7 linked regions of the Oryctolagus cuniculus genome follow. The protein of the gene in region 3 purifies or fractionates together with the protein of the main gene of each other region. This does not show direct contact. Links are inferred from orthologs where the notes say so. Each region holds a gene or a part of one and is shown on either strand. Other genes may lie near its edges.

Evidence for each region.
Region 1: the proteins of SMARCA5 (region 3) and HDAC2 fractionate together in Homo sapiens (co-fractionation; 5 studies listed by BioGRID, with this or other methods). This does not show direct contact. The link is inferred for Oryctolagus cuniculus from reciprocal best matches to the Homo sapiens genes SMARCA5 and HDAC2.
Region 2: the proteins of SMARCA5 (region 3) and BPTF purify together in Homo sapiens (affinity purification with mass spectrometry; 4 studies listed by BioGRID and IntAct, with this or other methods). This does not show direct contact. The link is inferred for Oryctolagus cuniculus from reciprocal best matches to the Homo sapiens genes SMARCA5 and BPTF.
Region 4: the proteins of SMARCA5 (region 3) and BAZ1A purify together in Homo sapiens (affinity purification with western blotting; 8 studies listed by BioGRID and IntAct, with this or other methods). This does not show direct contact. The link is inferred for Oryctolagus cuniculus from reciprocal best matches to the Homo sapiens genes SMARCA5 and BAZ1A.
Region 5: the proteins of SMARCA5 (region 3) and CECR2 purify together in Homo sapiens (affinity purification with mass spectrometry; 3 studies listed by BioGRID and IntAct, with this or other methods). This does not show direct contact. The link is inferred for Oryctolagus cuniculus from reciprocal best matches to the Homo sapiens genes SMARCA5 and CECR2.
Region 6: the proteins of SMARCA5 (region 3) and BAZ1B purify together in Homo sapiens (affinity purification with western blotting; 11 studies listed by BioGRID and IntAct, with this or other methods). This does not show direct contact. The link is inferred for Oryctolagus cuniculus from reciprocal best matches to the Homo sapiens genes SMARCA5 and BAZ1B.
Region 7: the proteins of SMARCA5 (region 3) and BAZ2A purify together in Homo sapiens (affinity purification with western blotting; 3 studies listed by BioGRID and IntAct, with this or other methods). This does not show direct contact. The link is inferred for Oryctolagus cuniculus from reciprocal best matches to the Homo sapiens genes SMARCA5 and BAZ2A.

What each region holds. Positions count from the first base shown.
Region 1 is NC_091436.1:57,413,417-57,417,698, reverse strand, and holds the start of HDAC2 (histone deacetylase 2), read right to left. Parts: upstream 2,801-4,282; 5' UTR 2,396-2,800; coding exon 2,344-2,395; intron 1,436-2,343; exon of another isoform or gene 1,293-1,435; intron 1-1,292. UniProt on the Homo sapiens protein: Histone deacetylase that catalyzes the deacetylation of lysine residues on the N-terminal part of the core histones (H2A, H2B, H3 and H4).
Region 2 is NC_091448.1:13,813,639-13,817,820, reverse strand, and holds the start of BPTF (nucleosome-remodeling factor subunit BPTF), read right to left. Parts: upstream 2,801-4,182; 5' UTR 2,574-2,800; coding exon 1,955-2,573; intron 1-1,954. UniProt on the Homo sapiens protein: Regulatory subunit of the ATP-dependent NURF-1 and NURF-5 ISWI chromatin remodeling complexes, which form ordered nucleosome arrays on chromatin and facilitate access to DNA during DNA-templated processes such as DNA replication, transcription, and repair.
Region 3 is NC_091439.1:20,991,710-20,994,825, reverse strand, and holds part of SMARCA5 (SWI/SNF-related matrix-associated actin-dependent regulator of chromatin subfamily A member 5), read left to right. Parts: intron 1-2,855; coding exon 2,856-2,963; intron 2,964-3,116. UniProt on the Homo sapiens protein: ATPase that possesses intrinsic ATP-dependent nucleosome-remodeling activity.
Region 4 is NC_091443.1:40,734,629-40,738,128, reverse strand, and holds part of BAZ1A (bromodomain adjacent to zinc finger domain protein 1A), read right to left. Parts: intron 3,094-3,500; coding exon 3,041-3,093; intron 2,935-3,040; coding exon 2,332-2,934; intron 494-2,331; coding exon 330-493; intron 1-329. UniProt on the Homo sapiens protein: Regulatory subunit of the ATP-dependent ACF-1 and ACF-5 ISWI chromatin remodeling complexes, which form ordered nucleosome arrays on chromatin and slide edge- and center-positioned histone octamers away from their original location on the DNA template to facilitate access to DNA during DNA-templated processes such as DNA replication, transcription, and repair.
Region 5 is NC_091440.1:97,388,311-97,391,810, reverse strand, and holds part of CECR2 (chromatin remodeling regulator CECR2), read left to right. Parts: intron 1-528; coding exon 529-682; intron 683-2,409; coding exon 2,410-2,539; intron 2,540-3,492; coding exon 3,493-3,500. UniProt on the Homo sapiens protein: Regulatory subunit of the ATP-dependent CERF-1 and CERF-5 ISWI chromatin remodeling complexes, which form ordered nucleosome arrays on chromatin and facilitate access to DNA during DNA-templated processes such as DNA replication, transcription, and repair.
Region 6 is NC_091450.1:50,548,075-50,551,574, reverse strand, and holds part of BAZ1B (tyrosine-protein kinase BAZ1B), read right to left. Parts: intron 1,792-3,500; coding exon 1,653-1,791; intron 551-1,652; coding exon 417-550; intron 1-416. UniProt on the Homo sapiens protein: Atypical tyrosine-protein kinase that plays a central role in chromatin remodeling and acts as a transcription regulator. Involved in DNA damage response by phosphorylating 'Tyr-142' of histone H2AX (H2AXY142ph).
Region 7 is NC_091442.1:59,379,538-59,383,528, forward strand, and holds the start of BAZ2A (bromodomain adjacent to zinc finger domain protein 2A), read right to left. Parts: upstream 2,801-3,991; 5' UTR 2,611-2,800; coding exon 2,607-2,610; intron 1,609-2,606; exon of another isoform or gene 1,494-1,608; intron 1,193-1,493; exon of another isoform or gene 943-1,192; intron 596-942; exon of another isoform or gene 572-595; intron 1-571. UniProt on the Homo sapiens protein: Regulatory subunit of the ATP-dependent NoRC-1 and NoRC-5 ISWI chromatin remodeling complexes, which form ordered nucleosome arrays on chromatin and facilitate access to DNA during DNA-templated processes such as DNA replication, transcription, and repair.

The sequences.
Region 1 (4,282 bases), on a different chromosome or scaffold from region 3:
AGTACTGACTAACACAAATCAAGACTGTCAAACATCTTCCACTCTACCCAATTGCATCCTGCCCCTGGGACCAATGTCTGCCCCCACTCTCAACAAAGGCTTATCATAAATGGGCTGAGGAACAAACAGTTCTCAGAAAACTGCTACCCAAGCATACCTCCTGCTCCTACAGTTTAAGCCTGCTGACAAAAAGTTGCGAGCACTTTATTCCATGGACCCCATCACTGCCAACAGCAAGTGACAACTGACAGACACTGAGCACCACTTTCTGCAACTTGTTAAATTTTTTCCCTTTGTTCCAAGTCCTGCCAAAAAACAAATCTCTAAACTCTGGAAACAACCCCCGGGCTGTAAAGCTACAGCCTGCAACACTGGCATCCCATATGGGCACAGGTTTGTGTCCCAGCTGCTCCACTTCTGATCCAGCTTCCTGCTAATGGCGTAGGCAAAGCAAAGAGGATGGCCCAAGCTTTTGGGCCCCTGCTTTCCATGTGGGAGACACAGAAGAAGCTCCTGGCTTCCACCTGGCCCATCGTGGACAACTGGGGAGTGAACCAGTGGATAGAAGATCTCTATCTATCGCTCCCTCTAACTCCCAAATAAATATTTTAAAATAAAAATAAGGTTGTTACATTTCCAATTTAACTAGAGAAGGTAGGGGGAAAGGTTTTGCCAACAACCCAAATATGCAATAAAATTCATGTTAAAATGTACTCCCATCTCTACAGCCCCAGTATAATTTCAAATCAATTTGCAGTCCTTCAAAGGATACATTTTAAAACAAGGCTGTTCCTATTTTGTCCCAGGTATTATGGGTCAATTTAAATTTTTTCCCATAATACATAATTTCCCACAAATGACTCAGATGGCTATTTCATATAAAACTGGCATTTTAAAAAATGGGATCCTTGCTAAATGAAGGGGCACGGTTCTGCTGTTACAGCCAGGTTTATACTGACCTTAGCTACCTTTCTAAAGTTGTGATTTACAGTATACAATCCATAAGAAACGGCTTCTCACATCTGTATTCGTATTGCTTCCCACAATTAGGACTGTGAGATCACTCAGCCTGGCTTTGTTAAATTTCAGTACTCTTTCTCCCAAAGGGTAACCTATTAGAGTTCAGATCTTTGTAAAATCTCTTAAGCTAGTGTTCCATTTAGTGTAACTTAGGCTGGCACAGAACGCAGAATCCAGAGTTGTAATGTTACTGACGCTACTCTGTATTACAGAATCCCTAAAATTAAATAACCTGATTTTTATAATTCACCATACCGTGAGCTCAAGCTTACCTGATTAAACTCCTTAGTCCTCCTGCACTACTCCCTCCAGTTTTTCTACATCAGGATCCCCACCACCTGAGAACAGCCTTCACAAGCCAGATGCCCATGGTCCCCTACACCTCCAAAGCAGGGTCTACTTCCTGATCGAACAAAGAGCAACAACAAAGAAGTGGGTGGTAACCACCTCCCACACGGGCAAGCCAGGACCCATCGAGTCTGACCTACAACACAAGCAGGAACACAGCTCTTCATTTTCCTCTCTCGTTCGCCGCGCCAACTGCCAGCCTCAAACTCGAAATCCCTAATTGTTACGGAGGAAGTGGAGCCCATCAATTTGAATCCGGAGAAAGTGGCGCTCAAAGAGCCGGGTGAACAAAGGAGAGGGATGCAGCCCACGCAGAACACGGGGGTGAGGGCGCCGCACGCCGGACTCGGGTTCCCACTCCCAGTAACCCCCACTCCGGCATCGCCCCGGGCCGAGGGGTCCGGGGTGCGGCTGCCAGCGGAGAGAGAAGGCGCCCGGGCCAGACGCGAGCAGAGGGGCGCAAGCGGGGGCAGGGGCACCGGAGGGGGCTGCAGGGGCGGAGCTTTGCGGCCGCTGGGCTTTGTGTAGTCAGAGCCGGGGTAGGAATTTTGACTCAGGGGGGCAAGGATCGGGTGCGGGATGCCGGCGAAGGGGTCCCCCAAAACCGCGATGCCACGAGAGGCGGGTGAAGTGCCAGGGAGGGCCGACCCCCTCGCCACTACCACCGGCGGGGCTAGGCCAGTGTGGTCCCCACAGCCGGCCACCTTGGGGGCTGCGGGCCGCACGACCGAAGACAGAGGCAGAAAGCAAGCGGGGCGTTCCCCCATTCCCGCCCGCAGGGTCCGCAGGAGGGGGTCGAGGTGCAGGGTCTCCCGCTGGCCGCGTCGGGTCCGCAACGGGTTAAGATGCGGCCAAGCGTCGGTCCCTCCTCCTTCCCACCCCTCTGAGCCGGCACCCACTGGCGACGGCGGCCAGAGAGCCCGGCGCGGCCCCCGGCCCGGCGACCCAGCCCTACCCGCCCACCCGGCCTCTCACCATCATAGTAGTAGCAGACTTTCTTCTTGCCGCCTCCTTGACTGTACGCCATGGGTTCCCCGGCCACCGCCGCCTCCGGGCTCCGGCTCCTCCTCCTGCTGTGGCTGCAGCTGCCGCCGCGGCTCGGCGGAGAGAAAGGCTAGGGGGATGGTGGGGGATGCCGCCCCGCGGGGAAGGGCAGGTCGGAGGGGGAGGGTCCCCGGAGGGCTCGGTACAGCCCGGCCGAGGGGGCCGAGAGCGCGGAGCGGGGGTGGCAGCGGCGCCAACTCGCGACACTGGGGAGGGGGAGGGGGCCGCCAAACCACCTCCGGAGGCCGAGGGGAGGTGGGACGCGTCCACTGAGTCCTCCACGGGGGAGGGAGGGGCATGACCAGAGAAAGAGGCCGGTTCAGGCTTGGGTGAGAATCCTTATAGTGATGAACAGCTTGCGGGGAACAGCGCCATTCAAAGCCTTAAAATTATGAAAAAGGCAGGCTCCTCCTCAGCAATACCAAGAGAACGACGACCCTTGTGTGTGTTCCCACCCTCGGATCTTCGCGCAGTGGTTGCGCCTATCCCGAGCCTGCGCAGTCGGCGCCTGCTCAACCGTAGCCTTGGCTGTCTAGACCCCCTCGGTGTCGTCCCACGCTGTTCCCCTCCCCCACTGTCGCGAAGCTCCCGCCCAAGCCGACCACGTGCCGTGCGCCGGGCGGGGAAAGACCACTCACGTTCTCCTTCCGGGCCTTCGAGCTGCGGGGCTTTCGCCCGCGGCCCCAGGACGTGGTCGCATGGTTTTCTCATCTGTTCACTAATATTTCGGTTTTTTTTTGGCTTTTAAGTGCTCTGGACACTGACCTATTGTAAGCTTTCAAGGAAGAGTGTACCGCTTGGGTTTGAATGGACATTTATAAAATTCATTTGTGTGGGGCAGGGTTCTAAAAGTGTTTGCATTTAGAGTAGTGTTTCATTGATACCCACTTAGAATAAATGCTGCACTTTTGTAAAGCTTCCCTCCGATACCGGGGTGTAAGTACTATTTCTGTTTCTTGTAGTTGGGAGCAGATTAAATTGGCCCTCGCAGCTGCTGATAGTTGGGAGTTTGGTCTCCGTCTTTTTCCAAACTCCGTATACCCTGGCTTTTCCACGAAACTAGACACTGGATAGGACGCTAGGAGAAAGGATTTTCAAACATTTGGAAATTACAAATGCCTGTGACCCTGCGTTCAATAAATCAGCATTTATCAGGCACCTACCCTAAGCCAGCCACGTTGCTGGGAACAGTGAAGACAGCCCGCAGTGTAGCACTTGTTTCCTAAGTCATGTACAATACCTTCCCACGCTGCCCACATGCAGGCTGTCTCCCATATGCCCAGTCAAGAAAAGAGGGGAGTGGAGAGACCTGTATTGAAGCAGGAGCCGTTTAAAGTCACATTCAAAAATATTATTTTTATTTTTTTTCACTTTTCCAAATTGACAACGGTATTTATGATCGGAGCAGCAATTTTCCTGGACCACATCCCCATGAGATTTAGAAAAGGTGTGTCAAGGATGGCTCCTGCCACACCCTTCCCAACCCTTCTGTTTGTAGTTTTAATAAGACCACAGTTGGTGCAAGAACCCTGGTGGGAGAAACCTTGGCTTGGGTGCGGTTGATTATGTGGTATTGATTCAAGTGTTTATCAAGTCCAAAATTGGGAAAATTCTGAGATCAGAACAAGTTAACTTAGTAGAAGCTAATATTGTCCCCTAGAACCAACACAGTGAAAGTCTGAAATGATACTTTATTTCCTTCGAGAAGATTCCCCTAACCTGCTCTCCCCAAATATGTTCATGTGCCTTTCCATGGTGGTTATGCCTTGTGCCTCTCTGGCTCAACCTTTACCTCATTACAGTTGCCCACAGCTTGTCTGAATGTACCACTAGAATAATGGTTTCAAAAGAGGAAGGACCAAATCTGTCA
Region 2 (4,182 bases), on a different chromosome or scaffold from region 3:
AATAATTGCGTATCCAATCAATCTTTGATGAGCACCTGCTACATGCCAAACACTGGTTTAGAGCTCAGGGAGTATAACATCAATACCTACCACTAAGGAGTTAATTTTATATATGGATGGGACAAGCATACACAAATTAGGCTACCAGCGTCGCTAAGAAAAACAAAATGTCAAGGAAGTATCACAAATATTCAAGTACTAAAAAAAAAAAAAAAAAAAAAAAAAACAGGAAGCCTCACCACAAACTGTACTTCAACTCAGCACAGCCATCAACCCCCCTAGCATGATTTGCTGGGCCCTCAGATGGGAGTGAAAGTTAGCGGAGCCGCCTGCCTGCCAGCCTTAGCTCTAACCGGGAAACTTCCTGCAGTGGTGGCAGTCAGTCAGTCTCCATGATTCCACACAGGGGATGAACCTGCGACTGCTCAGTGACAACTACTGCCACAGGAGATGACAAAACTTGCATCTAGCTCCTTCTGCACAGGAGACAAGCGTGCCGGACGCTCGGTTCTTGGGAGCAAGACAGGCAGCTGTCCTGTCAGCCCAAAGAAATGAACTACCTTTCTTCATTTAATGTCAGGGCAATCTAAGTGCGCGTCCACCTGTTAGTACCCACACTTCCCCCATATGTAAGCATTTATTTAAAAAAAAAAACATTTCCTTCTAACTGCTTCTACTACCCTAGTCTCTCTAAAAATAACTCATTTCCTCATAAACTTTACTTTGTAAACGTTCTTAACACCAAATTGTAATTTAGTTCATGGAGGTTAACAATATATAAAGGTCATGCAGATTGCTGCTACAAGTTACTTCTTTTTTCCCCTCACAATTTAGTGAGCCACAACCACGGATTTCACACAAAGCAGCAGCTGCGAGTGTGCTTAACCAAATGCATCTCCTAGAGGAACTTTCTGAAAACACTCGGAGCAGCCTTCACTCCAGCGCCAGGGAGGGCTTTTTTCTTCAGAAACAAAACGGAAAAGGACAAAATGAGTAACAGATCTGCTCGTTCTGCCGCGGAACTGAGAAGCGATCCCAAAAGTTCATCTCCGGCAAGGCCGACTGCCCGATCAGCTACCTCCACGGCCTCCGCAACAGGTGACGCGAGGCGGCTCAGCCCGAGCGCAGCCCAGGGACCAGGCTGGCGGCGGCGGCCCTGCCTGCCCCTCTGCACTTCTGCTGTGGACTCACCAAGGTGCTCTGGGAGATCGGGTGCATTTCCAAGGCTGCTTTCCTGCGCTTTTCTGCACTGCTTTTTAATCAGCAATTGACTAGCAACTGTTGCACCGGCCCATTAGCCCTCCAAGCATAAAAACAAACACGGGACCAGATAAGGCTTCCCGACTCAGTCCACCGACCCATCTCTTTCACGCGATTTTGTAAGCCGCCCAGCTAGGCGTGCGAAGAGAAGCGTGTTTTGTGCGTGTTTGTGTGCCACAATCTGTCCCAATCCTTAATTCCCTTTTAAGGAAGGGATACATAATAAAAATCTCAAAGAGCCCACATTAGAAATGCAAAGAGGTTTTTGCAAAACAAGAGGCTTCTTTCATTCCAAAAAAAAAAAAAAAAAAAAACCACACCAAAACAAGGGGAGAAAAATGAATGCAATGGATAGGCGAGTGCCAAAGTTTCGATCCTGCCCGGTGGAGCCACTGCACTGGCACAAATTCTGAAGAGGAAAAAGAGGGGGCTGGGGGGGAGAGAAAGAGGGCGAGCGAGCGTGTGGCCTGCAAACTGCAACAATGCAATCTCCATTTTGAACAATGCGCCTCTTTCCTCTTGTAAATCTAGTTTTTTTGCCACTTGCTGTGCCGTCGCATTTCCCCTCCGTCCGAGGGGGGGGGAGGCGGGTGGGGGGAGGCCGGAGCAGGATGCCCGGCACTCGAGAGGGAGTGAGCAGGGGGAGGGGGAGGCGGCGGGGAAGCAGCCTGCAGCCACCGGGCTGGGTGGGTACCTGGAGTGCTGCTGTAGGTGCTATGGCTCCTGAAGCTGCTCTCCGTGCAGTAACTGGCGTCGTCGTCGTCGTCTTCCATCTCCTCCGGATAATCGGAGTCATCGTCGTCCTCCTCCATCTCATCTTCCTCGTCGTCCTCCGAATCCTGGGTCTCCTCGGCGTCGCCGTCCTCCTCCTCCTCCTCCTCTTCCTCAGAGACCATGTCCTCCTCCTCCTCCTCCTCCTCGCTCTCGTGGTCATCGTACACCACTTTGTTGACCGCCCTCCGGGCCGGGGTGGTCCGGGCCAGGTGGCCGCCGCCGCCCCCGCCCCCCGTCCTGCCGCCCCCGCCTCCTCGCCCCCCCCGGCCCGGGGCGCTGGTGCTGGGGGGGGCCGGCGGCGGCGGCGGCTTCCTCCGGCTACTGCTGCCCCCCCGGGGCGAGCTCAGCCGCGTCTTGGGCGCCACCTCAGCCTGGGCGGCGGCCCACCTGCCCCGGCTGCTGCCGCGGTGCCGCGAGCGGAGCCCCCCGATGGGTCCGGACGTGGGCGGCGGCGGCGGCGGCGGCGGCGGGGCCGGGGCGCAGCGCTCCGCAGCGGGAGCCGCGGGCTGCTTGGGCGGCCTGCCCCGCCGGCCCCTCATGTCGGAGCCGAGGCGCGGGGGGGAGAAGGGAAAGCGGAGGGGGGAGGGGCGGGCGCGGGGTGGGGGCGGTGGGGGGCGCCGGGGCCGGGTGGGGAGGCCGGCGGGGCCGGGCGGGAGGGGCCCGGCCGGCGGAAGCGGGTGGAGGGAGAAGGCTCAGTCCGAATTGCTGGGGCCCCACTCCGGATCGCCTTCAGCCGCCATCTTGTTTCTTCCCTCTCGCTCGGTGACTGGGGGAACCGACAGCGGCCGCAGGCCCGGAGCGCGGTCACGTGAGCTGCGCCGCCGACGAGCCTGGGACGGAGCGAGGCCGCGCGGCGGCCGCTAGAGGGAGCGCGGGAGCGCCGAGTCGGGGGCGGGGAGCCGGGCCCGGCGCTCCGGGACCGCGGGCGCCGGCGGCGCTCAGGAGAGAGGGGCATGCAGCCCCCTCCCCAGTACCCCCCGCCGAAGGCCCCGGGGGACGGGAGCCCCCCGCGCGACGCCCGGCCTCGGCAGGGCCTCCGCCGGCGCCTCCCTTCCCCGGTGGCGGAGAGGAGGGCAGGGGAGCCCCGACATACCGCCCCCTTCCCGCCCGCGTGGGGAAAGTGATGCTGAAAGTGCCCGAGTGTCACCACTGAGGGCGCGGCGCCGGCGGGAACGAGCCCCCCAGAAACCTGCAACTCCCGAGAGTCCTGAAGTGGACCCGGGGGACCCGTCGCGAGCCACGCCCCGGGCTGCCGGGCCCTGGCGGGGCGTCCACACCCGGAAGGCCTCCGGGGGTCTCGCGGGCACCTGCCCCCGTGTCCCGCTGCGAGCCGGACCCCCGCGGCCGGAACTTGGAAAAGGCGGCAGCCCACCTGCGGTCGACCTCGGCGCCTTGTATGTTTCTATTATTGCGAGAGGATTTTAATAGCTTTACCTGACGAGTTCACCTGGTCTCAGTTTAGCCCAGGCAAGCGACCGTGGTGATGATATCCCAGGCAGCCCAAATCGGGGGCGCTCGATCCCGGCGGGGCAAGGCCTGGTCTGGAGGTTATACACACGTAATGCTACTTACTCAAGTATGTGACGACCGAGAAGTAATTTCGAGAAATAATAGTTAGCAGGATTCTGCCCACCAAATGGCTTGTTTCGACCCAATTAGGAGGAAGAAACACATGCGAAATGAAAATTAATATAGAAGCACTAATTGCCAAATTAACGCATTCAGTACGATTCAGTTGAGCACCCAAGGTGACAAATTTACATACCCACTGGGCCCAGGTAAGTAATGAAAGAAAATGGAATGGGCAGGTGGTCCTGCCACCCACTGGGAGTCCCTGATGGGAGGGAGCCCTGGCTGTTGTAGCCATTTGAGGAGTGAACCAGTGGGTGGAAGATCTCTTTCTCCCTCTCTCTCTAACTCTTTAAAATAAATATTAAAAAAAAAAAAAAAAAGTAAAAGTGGCCATGTTTTGTTTGAAAGGGATGGTTACTGAAATGCAGGCCTAACATGACCAGCTCCTCAGATGTTTTCAAGAGCGTGTGGAAATGTGGATTTCCTGTGAAATCTCATGGCTTTTAAATGTTGGGGGGGGGCAACGTTGTAGCAGGTTAAGATACCTCCGGTGCTGGTTCCAATCCCAGCTGCTTC
Region 3 (3,116 bases):
TGAGTGCTTAAGACCTTTTTCTGTAATACAGCAAAAAGTTAAGTGTAAGTATGTTCATCTTTGGAAAAAAATTTCATGAGAGAGAAAGGCAGGCAGGCAGACAAAACTCTAGGTAAAACCTAGTTTTAAATGGTCTCATATAGCTCCCATCTGCTGGTTCACTCTCTAAATACCCACAATAGGCTGGACTGGGATGGGCAACCTGGAATTCAGTCCAGATCTCCTGCATGAGTGGCAGGAACCCAACTACTTGAACCAACGCTACTGTTTTCTAGGGTCTGCAATGGTAGGAAGTTAGAGTCAGAGCCCAGGTACTTGATGTGGAACACAGATGTCTGAACTGGCATCTAAACCACCATGCTGAACACCTACCCCTGTTTAGTATTTTTTAACTGAAGTAAAAAGTTTTTGAAGTAGGGGTGAGTGCTCTGGCACAGGTGGTTAATCCACCTCCTGCAGTACAGGCATCCCATAAGGGCTCTGGTTCAAAGCTTAGGTGCTCCTCTTCCCACCCAGTTCTCTGCTGATGTGCCTGGGAGGGCAGCAGAATATGGCCCAGGTCCCTGGGCCCCTGCCAACCACTTTAGAGACTGGAGGAAGCTTCTGGCTGCTGGCTTTGGCTTGGCCCCAGCCATAGTTGTTGTGACTGTTTGGGGAGTGAACCAACGGATGGAAGATCTCTGTTTCTCCTTCTCTTTCTCCCCTGCCAACCCCCCCTCCCTCTTGTAACTTTCAATTTAAAAAAAAAAAAAAATTCAAGTGGATTTTTGTTACAGTATTAAATCGTGTCAGAGATTAAATCAGTTCCTTAGGAAACCAGTCATGTCCACAGTTTAAAAAAAAACTAATATCATTGGTGACTTTGACAAAGTTTATTGGTCCTGTCCTATAACATTATATGTCTTTCAACATGACTATGTATAATATAACTAGTTTTGATATTCATTTTAATTGAGTTCCAAGAAAAGGGAAATGTAATCATTGGTTTCAGCTTCTGAATGTGATGTCTTTTTAATGTTGCAAATAAATTTCTCTATCTGCACTGCAGAATGCTGGATCTGGGTAGTTTTTACATGGCTTTTAGTAAAACAGTATTTTTTTGTACTGATTTAATGTTAAGTTTTGTTTTTATTCCCGGTGTCTAACTTTTAGACAAAGCATCTCCATTTCTAATATCTTTAGGATTCAGGAGAGTTTTAGTTTTAGTTTTTGATGGATTTCCCTTTTATTTTGTATTTCACCACCTTTGAATACTTAACTTCAATTTGTGTTTTGTAGGATGATGTGTGAAAAAGATTCTTTTTTCAGGTTTGATTTATAATAGGATAAAGTTTAAACATTTTGTATTTATAGTAAGATTTCTTAGCATATTTAAAGTATGTTGTCATTCTGTCGACAGTGGATGATGTGCAGTGTTTCCAAAGTGACCACTGAAACATTTTTTTCTTTTTAACTTTATTTAAGTTTTGTAAGTTTCATATATTTCATATATAGATTTATGAACATAGTGATACTTCCCACTGTACCCTCCCTCCTGCCCATACTCCAGTCTTTCTTCCTCCTCCCTCTTCTATTCCCACTCTTAATTTTTACAAAGATCTATTTTCAGTTTACTTAATGATCATAAGGTTAACCCTACACTAAGAGTTCAACAAATATGAAAGGAGCTACTGTTTTGTGTTACTCTAATTAGGGAAATGTATTAAAATAACATGATGCTACTTTGAAGATAAAAGTACTGTGTAAATATTTGACCAAAAGAAAGATTAAGGTGCTGTAAGCTTTATTTTATATCTTTTGAAGTAGGAACAATTTGTAGTTGAATAAGGAATGATTTTTGTAGTGACACATAGTGTCACATTGATTTACCAGCACAATACTGTGATTAAAACAGTGGTTCCTCCCAACATGTTTCCATGTTTCAGGCACACAAAAAATGATTTAATATATATAAATGTGTGTGTATATATATATATATATATATATCTCCTCCCTTGGTGGTAAATTAATGAGCCAAAGTCCTTATTCAATAGGATTTATGCCTCCACACATGTGTGGCATCTTCATGGTATGTTCATCATAATTCACCTGTTAAGGAAAACAGAGCTTTGATGTAGTATATTACCTTCTGTTTTTATATACTATTGCAAATATTTCCAAGTCTTGTATGTCCTACAAAGTATTTTAGGATGATTTTATTGTTGTGCTTGTAATAATATCACTTACTACAAGGGAAAACAATTTTGCTCTGTAAGGAAATGGAGCTGCTAGCCAACTGTGATGCAGATGGACTGCTGTTTCTTTCAGTGTTTACTGCTTCTGCATTACACTTTAAATTCTTTCTGAATCTTATATAGACTGCAAGTTAACAGCTAAGAACTCATTGTAGACCTCTGTTGTTCTTTTTCCAAAATTGAGAAGAGTGTGTGGTATGTCAGCTACTGTAATTCTAGTGATAATGCTTTTATGGAAACAGTTTATACCTCTTAAAGTTTTAGTTGATTCTGACCCTCAAATGTTTGTGCTAGGTAGCTGAATTCTCAGGCAGCCATCAAGCAGTATTACATATGAGATGTTCATTTTCACTGCTTTAATTTCTAAGTGAAGGAGGGATTTATGAAAAATATATACAAGAGAATACCTTACAGAATGAAGTAATAAATAATTTAGTATTTTGCTTTTTATTCTCATATAGGTTGTATATGAAAATCAGTTCCTTTTCTTGTTTTTATCAAAGATATGTGAGTGATTTTATATTACTATGTTGAAACACACTTTTGTTTTAAAATTGGAGGCATGAAAACTTGCATGTGAAAAGTAAAAATTTACCATGTAAATTAATTTTTTTAACTCAGGAACTCCAGAGGAGGTGTAATACCTTGATTACTTTGATTGAAAGAGAAAACATGGAGCTAGAAGAAAAGGAGAAGGCAGAGAAAAAGAAACGAGGACCAAAGCCTTCAGTAAGTATTCGGATATATGTAAAGATTATATAAACTTCATTTTCCTCTAAATACTTCAGTGCTATTCGGTTATCACTGATGTGTTAGTCTTTTTCTCTCCTTAAAATAGTTAATACAATCAATTTTGTACTTTTAAATGAGAATTATCTGGGA
Region 4 (3,500 bases), on a different chromosome or scaffold from region 3:
GAAGAGGGGCAACCGGGACAGAATCCGGCGCCCCAACCGGGACTAGAACCTGGTGTGCCAGCGCCGCAAGGTGGAGGATTAGCCTAGTGAGCTGCGGCGCCGGCCATTAAATTCTGTTTAAGAAAACTGTCATTCAAAATATTTAAGAAAGTATATATTTATATATAAACATTTTATGCAGGAGCATAAACTTACATTTTCATTAAAAAAAATCATTCCCTGGTGTTTATTCAAAATACAGGTGACTTACATATCAAGTAATGAACAAATATGATCAAAATCCTAGAACACACAAATTGTATACACTAAAAATGGGGAAAGGTACAAACCTTGATTGCTCCTAATGTTCCCTGATAGATTCTGTCTTCAATATCCAAAAGAAAGTCTCTCAGTCTCAGTTCAAGTTGCCTTTCTGCAGACATCTGAGATGGATCACATGCACTGGAAGATCTTCCCCGAGTACACAGAGGTTTGCTATCAGCTTGAGGTTTGTCTAAAACAGTAATCAAATACTTCCATTATGATTTTATTAAAACTACAGTCCTATGTGACTGTTATAATTTTGAGATAATGAAAAAAAAGCACTCTGTAAATCCTCAAGTACCAAAAATAAAAAATAAATACTTGCAAATCATGCATCTGTAAAGGACTTTTATCCAGAATGAACTCTTATAATTTAAGAAAGTGACAAATAACCCAGTTTAAAAATGGGCCAAGGAACTGAGTAGACTTTTCTTTAAGGAAGATATACAAATGGCCAATAAGTTCACTTAAATGTATTCAACATCATTAATCAAAACCACAATGAAGTACCACTTCATACCCAGTAGAATATCTGTAATAAAAATCAGGTAAGTGTCAGCAAGGTCACAGAAGAATTGCAGCCTTCATACACTGGGGAGGGAAAATAAAATAGTGCAGCTGTTCTGGGAAACAATCTAGCAGTTTCTCAAAGGATTAACCAGTTTCCAGCAATTCTACTCTTAGGTACGTGTTCAGAATAAATGAAAATCTATGTTGACATAAACACTTAAATGTGAATGTGTATAGTAGCATTATTCATAACAGTCAAAATGTAGAAACAAAATATCTATCAACTAACAAATGGGTAAGTAAAATGTGTTATATACATACAAGGTGATCTATAGAGATAGTTATGGTTGCAAGGGACTGAGGGGAAGTGAGACTGCCAATGGTACAGGGTTATTGTCTTCTTGGGTGATAAAACTGTCCTAAAATGGAATGTAGTAACACTTGCACCTTAGAAGTATTTATTTGAAACACACACACCACTTCCCATCTGTTGGTTCACTCTACAAATGCCCACAACGTCTAGAGCTGGGCCAAGCAGGAGCTGAGAACTCAACTTGGGTCTTCCATGTGGGTGTAAGGGATGCAAATACTTGAGTCATCACTTTCTGTCTCCCAGTGTGCACATTAGTTGAAAGATGGAACTGAAAGCAGAGCTACAATTGAAATCCAGGCACTGATACAGATGTCCCAAGCAGTATTTTAACTGCTACACTGAACATCTACTCCCGAATTCTAACTTTATGTAGGTAATTAGACAGTATGTTAAAGCTATTTTTCAAAAAGAAGGAATTATTTGCTATGGTTTTTAATCCTAGGAAGAACTGAAAAAGTCACAGTAAACTGATTCTAAATATAAGCGGCTCTATACCAAAAGAATCTCATTTAACAATATAAAAAATATCTACTGCTTTCTCTATCCTCATTGGATCAGCCATCAAATAGGAAATGCTGCTGCTACCTGATCTCCCACTGCAACCAATCTCCATAAAAGTGATCATTTATGGAACCTGTCCTGGAACCGTCAGCTAAAATGCTTAGTGAGTAACCTCATTCCTACTATACTATCTCCAAAACTGATGGCAGCCTTAGAGCTTTGGACATTCAGTCTATTGACCAAGGAATGAGAACAGGAAGAATGTGTACAATGAGCAAATGTGTTCCTCATTTTCAAAATAGACCCCAGTGGAATTTGCAGGCCCTAGGAGGCAGTGGCGATGGCTCAAGCAGCTGGATCCCTGCCACTCATGCGGGAGACCTGGACAAGGTTCCCAGCTCCTAGCTTCAGCACTCCCCATCCCCACCTCAAGCACTGTGGGCATCTGGAGAATAAGCCAGTGGATGGGAGCTCTGTCTCACAAAAAAGACAGATTCCTAAATTCTAACTTGCAAATTGAAAGCAGGGTCAAAATGAAGATGAGGTGTTTTAAATAGACTTCTAATCATCACAAAAAATGTTTACTCAATGACTGGTGACTGCAGAAGAAAAAATAAAAGAAATAGTTTTCACTGAAACTATACCTGAAAAATGAAATTTCTCTTCAGAAAAACGGGCTAGCTGTGCACATATTCTGCTTTTCTCTTGCAACAAAGTTTCTTTTAAGGCACTTTCTCTGTGTCCTCTAGAATTAAGGGCTTCAATAAGCTGATCCAGTTGTTCACAAGAACTGTAAAAGCACCACCGATTTGGCTTATGCACTGGTTTTGGCAGCTGCACAGAATCATCACACAGACCTTGGTCAACGTTGGAGGTAGGTTCAGACTTCAAAGACTCTTCGGTTTTGGTGGATACCTGAGGATCCTGAGACTGTACATTACTCTGAAATGATGAAGGTCTAGGCAACAGCATGTCTTCCGTGAGACCAGAATAATCCTCTTCAATAAACAATCCAGGAATGGAAGGGAAAATCCAGTATCGTCTATACATGCGGTCACGGCCCAAGGGAAAGATATTGGTGCATGCTATGGCACTTTGGATTTTTTCTAAAAGCTCTTTCTCTTTTCGTTGGTGTTCTTGTTTTAAAGCTTCTTCCTCATCAGTATTAAGAGGCTCTCCTGTTACACAGTTGATCTCTTCTTGCTTGATAAGTTCTTTAAATCCACTTTGATCTCTTTTCCCTGTAGCTGAAAAAACATTTATCACTGTCATATGTTTGAAATTTTCACTAGAAAAACACGAGATACAAAGTTACCCCAAGTTATTACTGTTAGAGGCTGAACTGTGACCTACCCCTATTCATGCTGCTGAAGCACTGCCAGTGTGATGTCATTTGGAGACAGTGCCTTTAAGGAGAAAATTAAGGTCCAACGAAGTCACAGGGTGCAGCCCTAATCTGCCAGGCCTGGTGTCCTCATAAGAATTGGAGGAGACACCAGAGCACTCACTCTTCGGTATACACAGAGAAAAAGTCATCTGAGGACACAGCAAGAAGATGCTATCTGCAAGCCAGTCAGAGACCTCACCAGACACCAACCCTGCCGGCACCTGATCTTGGACTTCCAGCCTTCAGAACTATGAGAAAACAGATCTCTGTTGTTGGTATGCAGTCTGAGTAGACTAAGACACTATAAGAAACCGATACCCTTCAGTCTAGAGGAACATGCAAAATCTGTTATGTGCACACTGAAGAGCACAGTCTATTAGTTACCTGTAACAGCCACATAGCCCTTCTTTTAAGGTAAGGATCAGC
Region 5 (3,500 bases), on a different chromosome or scaffold from region 3:
AAGTCTGAGAGCAGGTATAATGGCACCTCTTGGAATGCCCACATCTCATGTTGGAGTGTTGGTTTGAACCCTGGCTATTCCATTTCTAATCCAGCTCCCTGCTGATGTACTTAGGAAGTAGCAGATGATGACTTAAATGCTTGGGTTCCTGACTTCTGGGTCCAGCCTTGCCCAGCACCAGCTGCTGTAGCCCTTTGTGTAGTTAACCTGGAAATGGAAATGTAGTTAACATGGAAATGGAAGACTGTGTGTGTGTGTGTGTGTGTGTGTGTGTGTTTCTGCCTTTCAAATAAATAAATATTTTTTAAAAACTTAAAGTTTGAAAGTCATATACATTAATTGATATTTTGTTAGTGTTCTTGTGTGTATATAAATCTGTATATATTTTGTACTGATTATACTTGTATTTATGATATAAATTCCCTAGTTTCTATTACCTGTCTGATACTTATTGAATATTAACTTGAAGCAAAGAACTGTTGTTGCATTGTTGTATCCTGGCTTGACATACTCACTGGTTCCTCCCAGGAGACTCCTGTGCTTACTAGAATAGAAAAACAAAAACGAAAAGAGGAGGAAGAAGAACGTCAAATTCTTCTAGCAGTGCAGAAGAAGGAACAGGAACAGATGTTAAAAGAAGAGAGGAAACGTGAGTTGGAGGAAAAGGTCAAGGCAGTGGAAGGTATGTGGGCATTTGTGCTGTCTGGAGGGGTGCATGTTGTGCAGGAAGAAATCTGCAGCCAGATCCCAGTCAAGCTAGGGTCCTTCATTTACGGATGGTACTGTCGGCAATTCTTATTGAAGTATCTTGTGATTGTGTTCTGTCATGTTTCTTCCAAGCTCAATGAATCTATTTCTGTGGAAGCACTTGCATTTATCATTCTGCGTGTACCTTCTGATCTCTGCTGTGCCTCACACGTGGAGCAAAAAAAAAAAAAAAAAAAAAAGATATTGATGACAACTGATTTCAGATGTAACTTTGAACACAAGTGAGATATGCTTAAGAAAAGTCTCATAGTTTAAAGCACACCATTCCCAGTCTAGAATATTACCATTAGTATTACAAAGATAAACTAGTTTTCTCAGACCTAGGTCCAGGTAGATTTTGGTCTTGGACTTTGGTGTAAGGAGATCTTATCTAACTTTCTTTTTCTTTTTTTCTCTCTCTCCTCTCTTTCTGTTTTTCTTTCTTTTCTAGATTTATTTATTTTTATTATTTGAAAGGCTGAGTTATGGTTGGAGAGACAGAGATCATACATCCACTGGTTCACTCCCCAAATGGCCACAAGGGCTGATCCAAAACCAGGAAGCCAGGAGCTTCTTTAAGGTCTCCTCCATGAGTGTAGGGACCCAAGTACTCGAGCCATTTCCAGGCACACTATCCGGGAGTTGGATTAGAAGTAGAGCATCCAGAACGGGAACCAGTGCCCATGTGGGATGCTTTACCCACTACCCCACACTGTTGGCCCCAGGTTTGACTTTTTTAATACAGTGTTTCAGTGAAAAATTCAGGAAATGGAAATAAAAGACTCTGGCCTTAAATCATTTTTTTCTTTCTATTCCTAAGTTGCACTTCTATTACGTAACCATCTCTTCATTCATTCACAGTTCCTTAGTGCACAGACTGATTTAGCCTGTTATTTTATGTGGAACATGTAAGAGCCTGTCTATGTTCTGTTTTCAGTGTTAGATTTAAATTCCTCAAGGCAATAACTATTGCTTTTATTTCTGTATATGTTTCAAATGAAATTATATCTCTTTTAAAGATTTATTTATTTATTTGAAATGAAGAGTTACAGAGAGGCAGAAAGAGAATCTTCCTTCCGTTGGTTCACTCCCCAGATGGCTGCAATGGCTGGAGCTATGTTGATTGGAAGCTAGGAGCCAGGAGCTTCTTCCTGGTCTCCCATTCTGGTGCAGGTGCCTAAGGACTTGGGCCATCTTCTACTGTTTTCCCAGGCCATAGCAGAGAGCTAGATCAGAAGTGGAGCAGCCAGGACTAGAACCGGCGCCCATATGGAATGCTGGCACTGCAGGCGGCAGCTTAACCTGCTGTGCCGCAGCGCCGGCTACGGCTCTGACTCCTCCGACTAATCATTTTTGAACACTGATTCTGTGCAAGGCTCTGTACTGGGTCTATGGTAAAGAACAAATTAATTTCTTCCTTTCCTGGAGTTTACATTTTAATGGTGCATAAACAAATATTATTGAATTATAGATAACAGTGAGAGGTATAAATAAAGTAGACATACCAATAAGAACAACAAAATTGAAGTGACATTTAGATAACATTTCATGAAAGACTTCTGTGAAGATGTCAATGTCTAAAGGAGGAAGAGTGTTGTATAGGCAGACAGAGTAGCAAATGGAGAGGCTTACTTGTACCGTGGCATTTTGTGTTCATTACAGATCGAGCTAAGAGAAGAAAGCTCAGGGAAGAAAGGGCATGGCTGCTGGCTCAAGGGAAGGAGCTCCCCCCTGAACTTTCCCATCTGGACCCCAACTCGCCCATGAGAGAAGAGAAAAGGACCAAGGACCTGTGAGTATTCAATAACCACAATAACAGCACTAGTACTGCGATACAATCCTCTGTGGAAGGTAATAGTGTCATCCCTTAAGGTTGAGAAAAGAGGAAGTGACAGGTGCAGGCATCACTCACAGCTGACTATAGAGCTCTTTACCACGCATGCACAGACACAAAGCGAGTGGGACCCTTTCCTTTCCCTTTTACATTCTTGCTTCCTGTTCTTCAGAAGCACAAGTGGTATTTATACACAAAGCTCTTATTGTTTCTCCCAATTCTTTAATGAAATTTTACACACTCCCTGTGAAGTTGCCAGGTACTGGTTTTTTGTTGTTGTTTGTTTTTTTTTTTTAAAGATTGATTTATTTATTTGAAAGAGTTAAACAGAGAGAGGATAGGCAGAGAGAGAGAGAGAGAGGTCTTCCATCTCCTGGTTCATTCCCCAACTGGCTGCAGTGGCCAGAGCTGCCCCAGCCTGCAGCCAGGAGCTTCTCCCGGGTCTCCCACGTGGGTGCAGAGGCCCAAGGACTTGGGCCATCTTCTGCTTTCCCAGGCCATAGCAGAGAGATTGGAAGTGGAGCAGCCGGGTCTCGAACCAGTGGCCATATTGGATGCTGGCACTGCAGGTGGCGGCTTTACCCACTATGCCACAGCGCTGGACCCAGCATTGTGTCTTTATGCTTCTTGCTGAAAATCAGGAAACAAATATTGAGTATTCATGAGCTCATTCTATTGTATGCTTTTGTGGGTTTTCAGATCACTAAAATATTCATTATAACTAATGTTAAGTTGTAGATCATCTAGGCCGGCCTCATCATGTTTATAGATGAGGAAAAATATATTCCCACATTTGCATCATTTTCATGTTGTTTTCATGGGTGTTAACCAGTTTGTTAAGAATGTTTGAAATCTTACTGTATCTGAAGAGAATTAGAATTAGTAATAATTTTTCATTTTATGATTTACAGCTTTGAGC
Region 6 (3,500 bases), on a different chromosome or scaffold from region 3:
TGCCATGGCCCAAATGAGGCCCAGATTCAAGTTGGGGCTCTTGGCTTCAGCCTGGTCCACTCTAGCCATCACAGCCATTTGGAGAGTAAACCAGCAGATGAAGATTCTGCCTTTCTGCGACTCTTCACCCCAGTCACACTGCCTCCACTGTACCACCCGCCCACTCTGTGATGGTGGGCAGGCGGCACACTCGCTAGGAACCTTTTCCCTGGCCGCTGATTTCATGCGGCCAGCCAGCGGCGCCAGAGCCGCAACTCCCCGACAGCGCAGCAAGCGTGAGGGGAAACAGCCGAGTTCAGCAGTGCGCTGCGCTGTGGAGCGGACGCCTGGCAGGTGAGTCCTGACTCACTTTTGCCTTGCGATGGGTTAGGACGCAGCTCTATCAAGTCAGGGAGCATCTGGAGCGGACAACTTACTGCGGGGACAGGAATCCTCGTCAGCAGAGTCCGAGTGCTTCTTGCGGTGATGGTTGAATCGGTAGTCAATGCTGTCATGTACCCAGCCCTTCTCAATGAACAATCCTGGAACTTCGTCTGAGAAGAGCCAGTATCTACAAACCACAACCACACGTTAGTCAGGACTGCGGGACGACTGCGCGTGTCACAGAGCCTCACAGACCATTCACAACCACAGACAGGAACGCTCTCTTTGCTCAAAATTCAACAGACACCAACCACAGGGGAAAGCGAAGGATACTACATTTTCTGCAGTCTGAGACTCATATAACGTCTGTAACTTTTATAACATCTAGTATTTCTCTGTCTTTAGGTTCCATGTAATGTATACCTTTAAAATAATCAACAATATTAAAGTGTTGGTCGACACTATATTTGGTCGACATTTCTCTTATTTTATGCGTTTTATTTGAAAGGCAGACAGGGCCGGCACCGCAGCTCAATAGGCTAACCCTCCGCCTGCAGCGCCGGCACACCGGGTTCTAGTCCTGGTCGGGGTGCCGGATTCTGTCCCGGTTGCCCCTCTTCCAGGCCAGCTCTCTGCTGTGGCCAGGGAGTGCAGTGGAAGATGGCCCAAGTGCTTGGGCCCTGCACCCCATGGGAGACCAGGAAAAGTACCTGGCTCCTGCCTTTGGATCGGCGCACTGCGCCGGCCGTGGCAGCCATTGGAGAGTGAACCAACGGCAAAGGAAGACCTTTCTCTCTGTCTCTCTCTCTCACTGTCCGCTCTGTCAAAAAAAATAAAAAATAAATAAATAAGAGAGGCAGACAGACAGGTATCTCCCATTTACTGGTTCATTTCCCAAATGCATATAATGGCCGGACCTGGACCAGGCCAAAGTCACAAGCTGGGAGGTCAACCCAGGTCTCCCACATGGGTGGCAGGTACCCAATCATAGGAGTCGTCACCTACCAACCCAGAGTGAGAATTAGCAAGAAGCTGGGATCTGGAACAGAGACAGGACTTAAAGCCACACACTCCAATGTGGGACACAGTGTCTGCCCCTATATAACGTAAGTTTCAGACCTGTGGTATCTTCAAAGGGTAATTTTGCTACCCTAACATTCAGCAGTTAATATTCAGTAAATGTGTGATAAGCACTTCTGTCTCCAAACAGATCTGGGAAACTCAGCAGGAGCACGACACAGTTTCATGACTAATAACGTAAGACAGAGCAGCTATGCTTAGTAACTGACCTGTTATGGTTTCGATCGGTGCCAATAGGAGTTCTGCGCATGACGAGCTTCGCCTTGGCGATACCTTCCTGGAAAGCCTTTTCGGCAGCTGCTTTGTGCTTCCGTATCCGTTCTTCTTCAGCCTCCCGCTCTAGTTTGACTGTTGAAGACAAAAGAAGACTTATTTTTTCCTAATAACGCCACTCTTACAAATTAAGACATACAGTGAAAAGTGCCAGATCCTTTCTCTCCAAAACTTAACTTCCGGTTAAGACATTTTAAACAACCCTGGTGACATTTCCTAACAGTCGATAAAATGGAACACTTTTAGACAGATATAATCACAGGATCCTCCAAAAGACCATGATGAATAAAACAGTTATTTCAAAAATGAACCATATTTCAGTCCTCAGGAATCAGACAGCTACTCAGCTCAATAGCTTTGATGACAAGAAAAAAGAACTGAGAAAACAAGGGCAAGGAAGCACCTGTGGATCATACTTAATGTACTCGGAATATCACTTTTCTACACTGTTCAGCAAATTACTACTGCTAATAGGAAAACACTTTCATCAGTCACTGCATGGGTTTATTTCACTTCCCTAAACAAAAGCCTGTAATCTTGCCTTCAAACTGTCTCTACAACTGTCACAGACTTTAATACTGCAGAGAGTACTGATTTACAATGCCAGGTGTTTTTTTGTTGTTGTTGTTTTGTTTTTGACAGATAAGAGTTAGACAGAGAAAGACAGAGAGAAAGGTCTTCCTTCTGTTGGTTAACCCCCCAAATGGCCACAACAGCCGGAGCTACACCGATCTGAAACCAGGAGCCAGGTGCTTCCTCCTGGTCTCCCATGCCGGTGCAGGGGCCCAAGTACTTGCGCCATCTTCCACTGCCCTCTCGGGCCATAGCAGAGAGCTGGACTGGAAGAGGCGCAACCGGGACTAGAACCCGGCACCCATATGGGATGCTGGCGCCACAGGCAGAGGATTAACCAAGTGAGCCGCGGCACTGGCCCCAACAATGCCAGGATTTTTAATCCTTAACCCTCTACTGAGGTAACAACTACAATATTATTGAGGATCTGGACAGTGCCATCTGTCTAAAGCTATTACTTTCAAAAATTAAAAAAAAAATACTATTTTAGTATTATATTAATCTCACCTTTAATAAAGTTTGCTAATGATATTGTATGATTGTCAAGAATGAAGGTAAATGATACAAAGAGACTCAGAGTAATGGCCGCTTCTCAATCAAAGAAAAACTCATTTTCCTGGGGCCGGCGCCATGGTGTAGTAGGTTAAATCTCCACCTGTGGCACCAGTAACCCATATGGGCACTGCTTCAAGTCCTAGCCGCTCCACTTCCAATCCAGATCCCTGTTAGTGTGCCTAGAAAACAGCAGAAGCTGGCCCAAGTCTTTGGATCCCTGCACTCTCGTGGGAGACCCAGAAGCAGCTCTTGGCTCCTGGCTTCAGATGAGCCTAGCTCCGGCCATTGTGGCCATCTGGGGAATGAACCAGCAGATGGAAGACCTTTCTGTGTGTCTCTAAAATAAAGAAATAAATAAATCTTTTTAAAAAAAAAAATTGCAAAATTTAGCCCAGTGTCCTCCTCTCACACTGGAGTACCTGGTTCAATACCAGATTCCAGATTCCTGAGACTGCAAATCCTTGGATGCAGTGGTAATGGCTCATATAGCTGGTTCTGCCACCCACTCTGAGATCCCAGGTCCAGACATTTGAGGAGTGAACTAGCAAACGGATACAAGCTCTGTCTCTCTTTCAAATAAATAAAACTTAAAAAAAAAAAAGAAAAGAAAAGAAACTCACAGAACTGAAGGAGACCCAGAATAACCAAAATAATCT
Region 7 (3,991 bases), on a different chromosome or scaffold from region 3:
CCCAAGAAAGGGGGAAAGGGGCCATTTTATTAGCAACTTGTTAGAAAAGTGTCTGGGGAACAGACTGGGCCCCCCTCGAGCCAGGAGCAATGGAGGGAGGGAGAACTTAGCACCTGCTTCCCCCATGTTCCTGTGGCACCTCCCGCACTTTGGGGCGCTGCCATGGCGTCGGGCTCCACTTCCAGGCGGGGGAAGAGAGCCCAGGGATTCGCTGGCATCCCTCTACCTTGCAGACACTCCCACCAGCAGCCCTCTCTCCTCCCAAGCCCGCTGGAACACCACTCAGTAGTCTGAAGACCCTCCTGACACCCAGGCCGCCACTTCTGGAGGTGGGCAGTGGGCAGTGAAGACACCAAGGCTAGCCACAGAGCTGGGGCCCAGCTGGATCAGGGAGGGAGGACTCCCAGTGGAAATGGGCAGTCCTCAAAGACCTCCTTTCCCGGCCATGGCAGAATGGGTCACGCTGACGGACAGGCGCGAGGAAGGCGAGGAAGGAGCCGGCTCTCAACCCTATAACCTCTCCAACCCCTCCCCCCCACAGGTCAAAGCAGAATAGCTCCCCACGACATACTTTGGGGGAATGGTGGCCTCCCCTTCTCCCCTCCAGGTCGGAATGGACCACCTCAGATCCAGCCCGGTTTCCAAACTTCCCAAAGGGCTTCTCCTCGAAGCTGCTAGAAAATGGAGAATTCTGTTTCCTTTGAGGGTGGGGGCTCTCTTTGCATCTGAATACAGAAAGCGGTGCTTCCCTGGCCTTCCCCACCAACTCAACTCCCACAGGCCCCCGGCCCCCACTCCCCCAGCCCCGCGCCCCACTCTCCACCAACAGCCCCTTAAATCCTGAAACACAAGATCCCCGCCCCCCCAGCTCCGGGATTCTGGGGGAGGGGCGTTCCCAGGCTGGACCCGCCAACCCCGGCCCTAGAAGAGGGCCCTTCCCACCTGGGCTCAGTAGGCGGTGCTGAGGTCGGACCCCAAACTCTGGGAGCCCTGGGAGGGGGTGAGGGCCCCAGAGCGGCTTCAGCTAGGACTTAGCTGAACTTGCAGGGCGGCGCGGCGACTGTAATCGCTGCGGCTCCCCCGCCCCTTACTACGGGGAAGGAGAGGCGAGGGGGTGGCGGTTATTCCCCCTCCCATCGGGGTTAGGATGGCGTGGGAAAGCGCTCGTTCCAGAGGGGAGGAGGCGAAGCCCAGCCCGCGGGAGATTTTTTTTTTTTTTTTTTGGGCGAGGAAGGCGCGAGAAAGGGAGCCCCCCCCCCCCACGGCCCAGAATTGGAGGAGTCGCCGGGGAGGACGGCGGAGGGGCGTGAGGAGCCTCCGGATTCCGGGCGGCAGAGGACAGGGGAAAAAAACGGCCGAGTCGATAGTGCGGGGGAGAGAAGAGGAAGGGCAGCTCCCGCAGCGGGAGCGTCCAGTCCTGAATTCTGGGCCAGGCAACCGCGGCAGCGGCCCGCCCGGGGGCTCCGGGTCCGGAGGTGGGTGCCGGGCCTCACCTGGAGCTGAGCCGGGCCGCGGGCGGCGGCGGCGGCGGCGGCGCAGGTGGCCGAGCCGGGCGGCGGCGACGCCTCCTCCCCCAGCCCTGGGCCGGCGGCGGCGGCGGCGCGGGGGAGGTGGCGCTTAAAGGGGCAGGAGCCGCTGGGGTGCGGACGAGCGCTCGGGGAGGGGGCAGCGGGAGGCGTCTCCTAGGGCCAGACCCAGGAAAGGTCCCAGATGGCGGAACAGGACGGATCCCGAGAGGACGCAGAAACTTCTACGGGGAAGTGGGGGGCGGCAGTGGGCCTGAACTTGGGAGCCGGTGCCCGCGCTGCAGGAGCCCAGAGGAGGCCCTGGAGTGCAGGAGAGGGAACTCCAGGCCTGACGTGCGGGGGGTCACGCACGGCGCCCTACTAGGGGAACAGGTTCCCGGCGTCCTAGCTCCTCTGGGGCCGCGTCCCTACAGCTGCGGGGGCTGTGGAATCAGGAAGCCACGAGGGCAGCTGCCTCCTGGGAGCTCAGCCTCCATGCTAGCGCTGCCTAAGGGCCGCCGGCACTGTGGCGTGGAGGCCATCAGCAGAGCTGCAGGGAGGCTGCTGTGGGACCCTGGGGGCGGCTTTACTCTTAATTCAGTATCCCCACCATGGCCACCCTTGCAGCCACCTCGGGCAACAGGAAGCAGCTGCTCAGGGCAGCCCCCACCTGGTGGTGGGTCAGGGTGGGGGAAGAGAGAAGCCAGGGATTTAAAGGCCTGAGACTAAGGCTTAGGGGAGACACCGTGGAGACCCTCCAACACTGCTTGCTCTTGTGGGGGCCAGCAGTGAGTACTCTTTATAGACTGGACTCCCAGCAGCTCAGATGGGGAGGAGCGAGGGGCCATACTCCACGCGGGTGGGGGTGGGGGGCGCCCAGGCCTAAGGTACAGCCTCACTGTTCCTTAAGAGCTCCAGCCTGCCAATGCTCAGGATCCCAGGCGGCAGCCTCACCAGCTGAGCCCTGTACCCCCCCCCCAGTCTCATTTCCCCTCCTTCACCCCCCAAACGAGCAAAGGTTAAGCCCCACCCCTGCTGAGTCAGCCAGGGAGGGAGCTAGGCATCCCTCAGGCCTTCCCCGGGGCTGGTCCCCAGACTCACCCATGTCAGGCTGCCAGGGCTCAAGGCTGGGACCACCCAGCTCCTCGCTGTTGCTGGACCCCCTTCTTGCTGGGAGGCTTGCTGTAGGATCCTCCCAAACTGTGAGCTGGGAACTAGCAAGAACCAAAAGGCCAATGTATGCTTCCTGCGAGCCACACAGCCCGAACTGCTGTAGGGTGATGTCCCTGTGTGACAGACCCGGGTGGGGAGGGAGGAGGGAAGGGCGGGGCTTTCTCTGGGTGGAGAGAGGGAGGAGGCGAGGACAGGGCAGACCAGGAGAAATATGGAGGGAGGTTAGGCTGTGTTGACACTCCAGCGGCGTGCACAGAGAGGGTGCGGTAAAGAGGGAAGGAAATAAGCGGTTGCAGCCGGGTGAGAGGGAGAATGTTCTAGACAAATGCTGGAGGACGCGAAGGGGTGGAGGGATGCAAACAACCTTTAGGTTCCCAGGTCTGCCTCTGGGCGGTGTGGGAAAACAAAGCGGAAAGGGCTGATCCATACCCTGGGGCCTCCCCCCACTATCTTCCCCACTCAGGTCGGGACTTGGAGGAAGTGTCCCAACCCCCATAACTCAGCATTTCCCCCAGTCGAGCTTTTCTGGGAGCAAACTACCGGGCACAAGCAGCTCCGGGGCTCCACCTTCCGTCCAGATCCTGACACAGGGGAGACTGGTGCCAAGGACGTCATAGGCAGATGGGAGGAAGCTCAGAGGCCCCTACTCCACCCCGGGCGCCTCTCCCAAGGCCCCTCCCCAGCCTTCAGCCCCCAGGGGCCTCTGAATTGGGAGCTCAGCTTGTCTCCGCCCAGCTCCTACCCAACTGAAGGTCCCAGGAGGTGGGGCTTGGAGGAACAGGCTCCTCCTCAGGACAAAAGCCCCAGCTGGTTTGTAAACAGTCATTTGCCGAGAATCACATCCCAGCAAATGGCCCTCAGGGATTTCAAAATGGTGAGATCAGAATTCTTGCAGACCGGGTCCCGACTACCACAAGAGGGCAGTAGGACGGGTCTGGGTCCGGAACGGAACACAAGGGGCACCAAGTCTGACCTTGCGTTATTTTGTAAATTGAAATGGTGCTATCTTCCCACTCTACACCTCTTAGTGGGCGAAAATGAATGGGAAATGATTGAACTCCATTTAGTTCAGCAGTGCAAGCCAGCAACCCTGCAAACTGCCACTTCTGTGCAACAGATTCTCTGTCCTGAACTTTCTTAGCAGAGCTCAGACTAGGCCTCATGCTACTTTATACCCTTGCAGAGCCTCAAGGAATCCAACATGCAAGTCCGGGCTTGCCCGAAGTGGGGCACTCTGAAGAAATGAAGGCCTAACCACCCAGCCAAGGTGGAGGGGGCCCTTCTGACTCCATCTTAACAAAAATCAGTTTTCA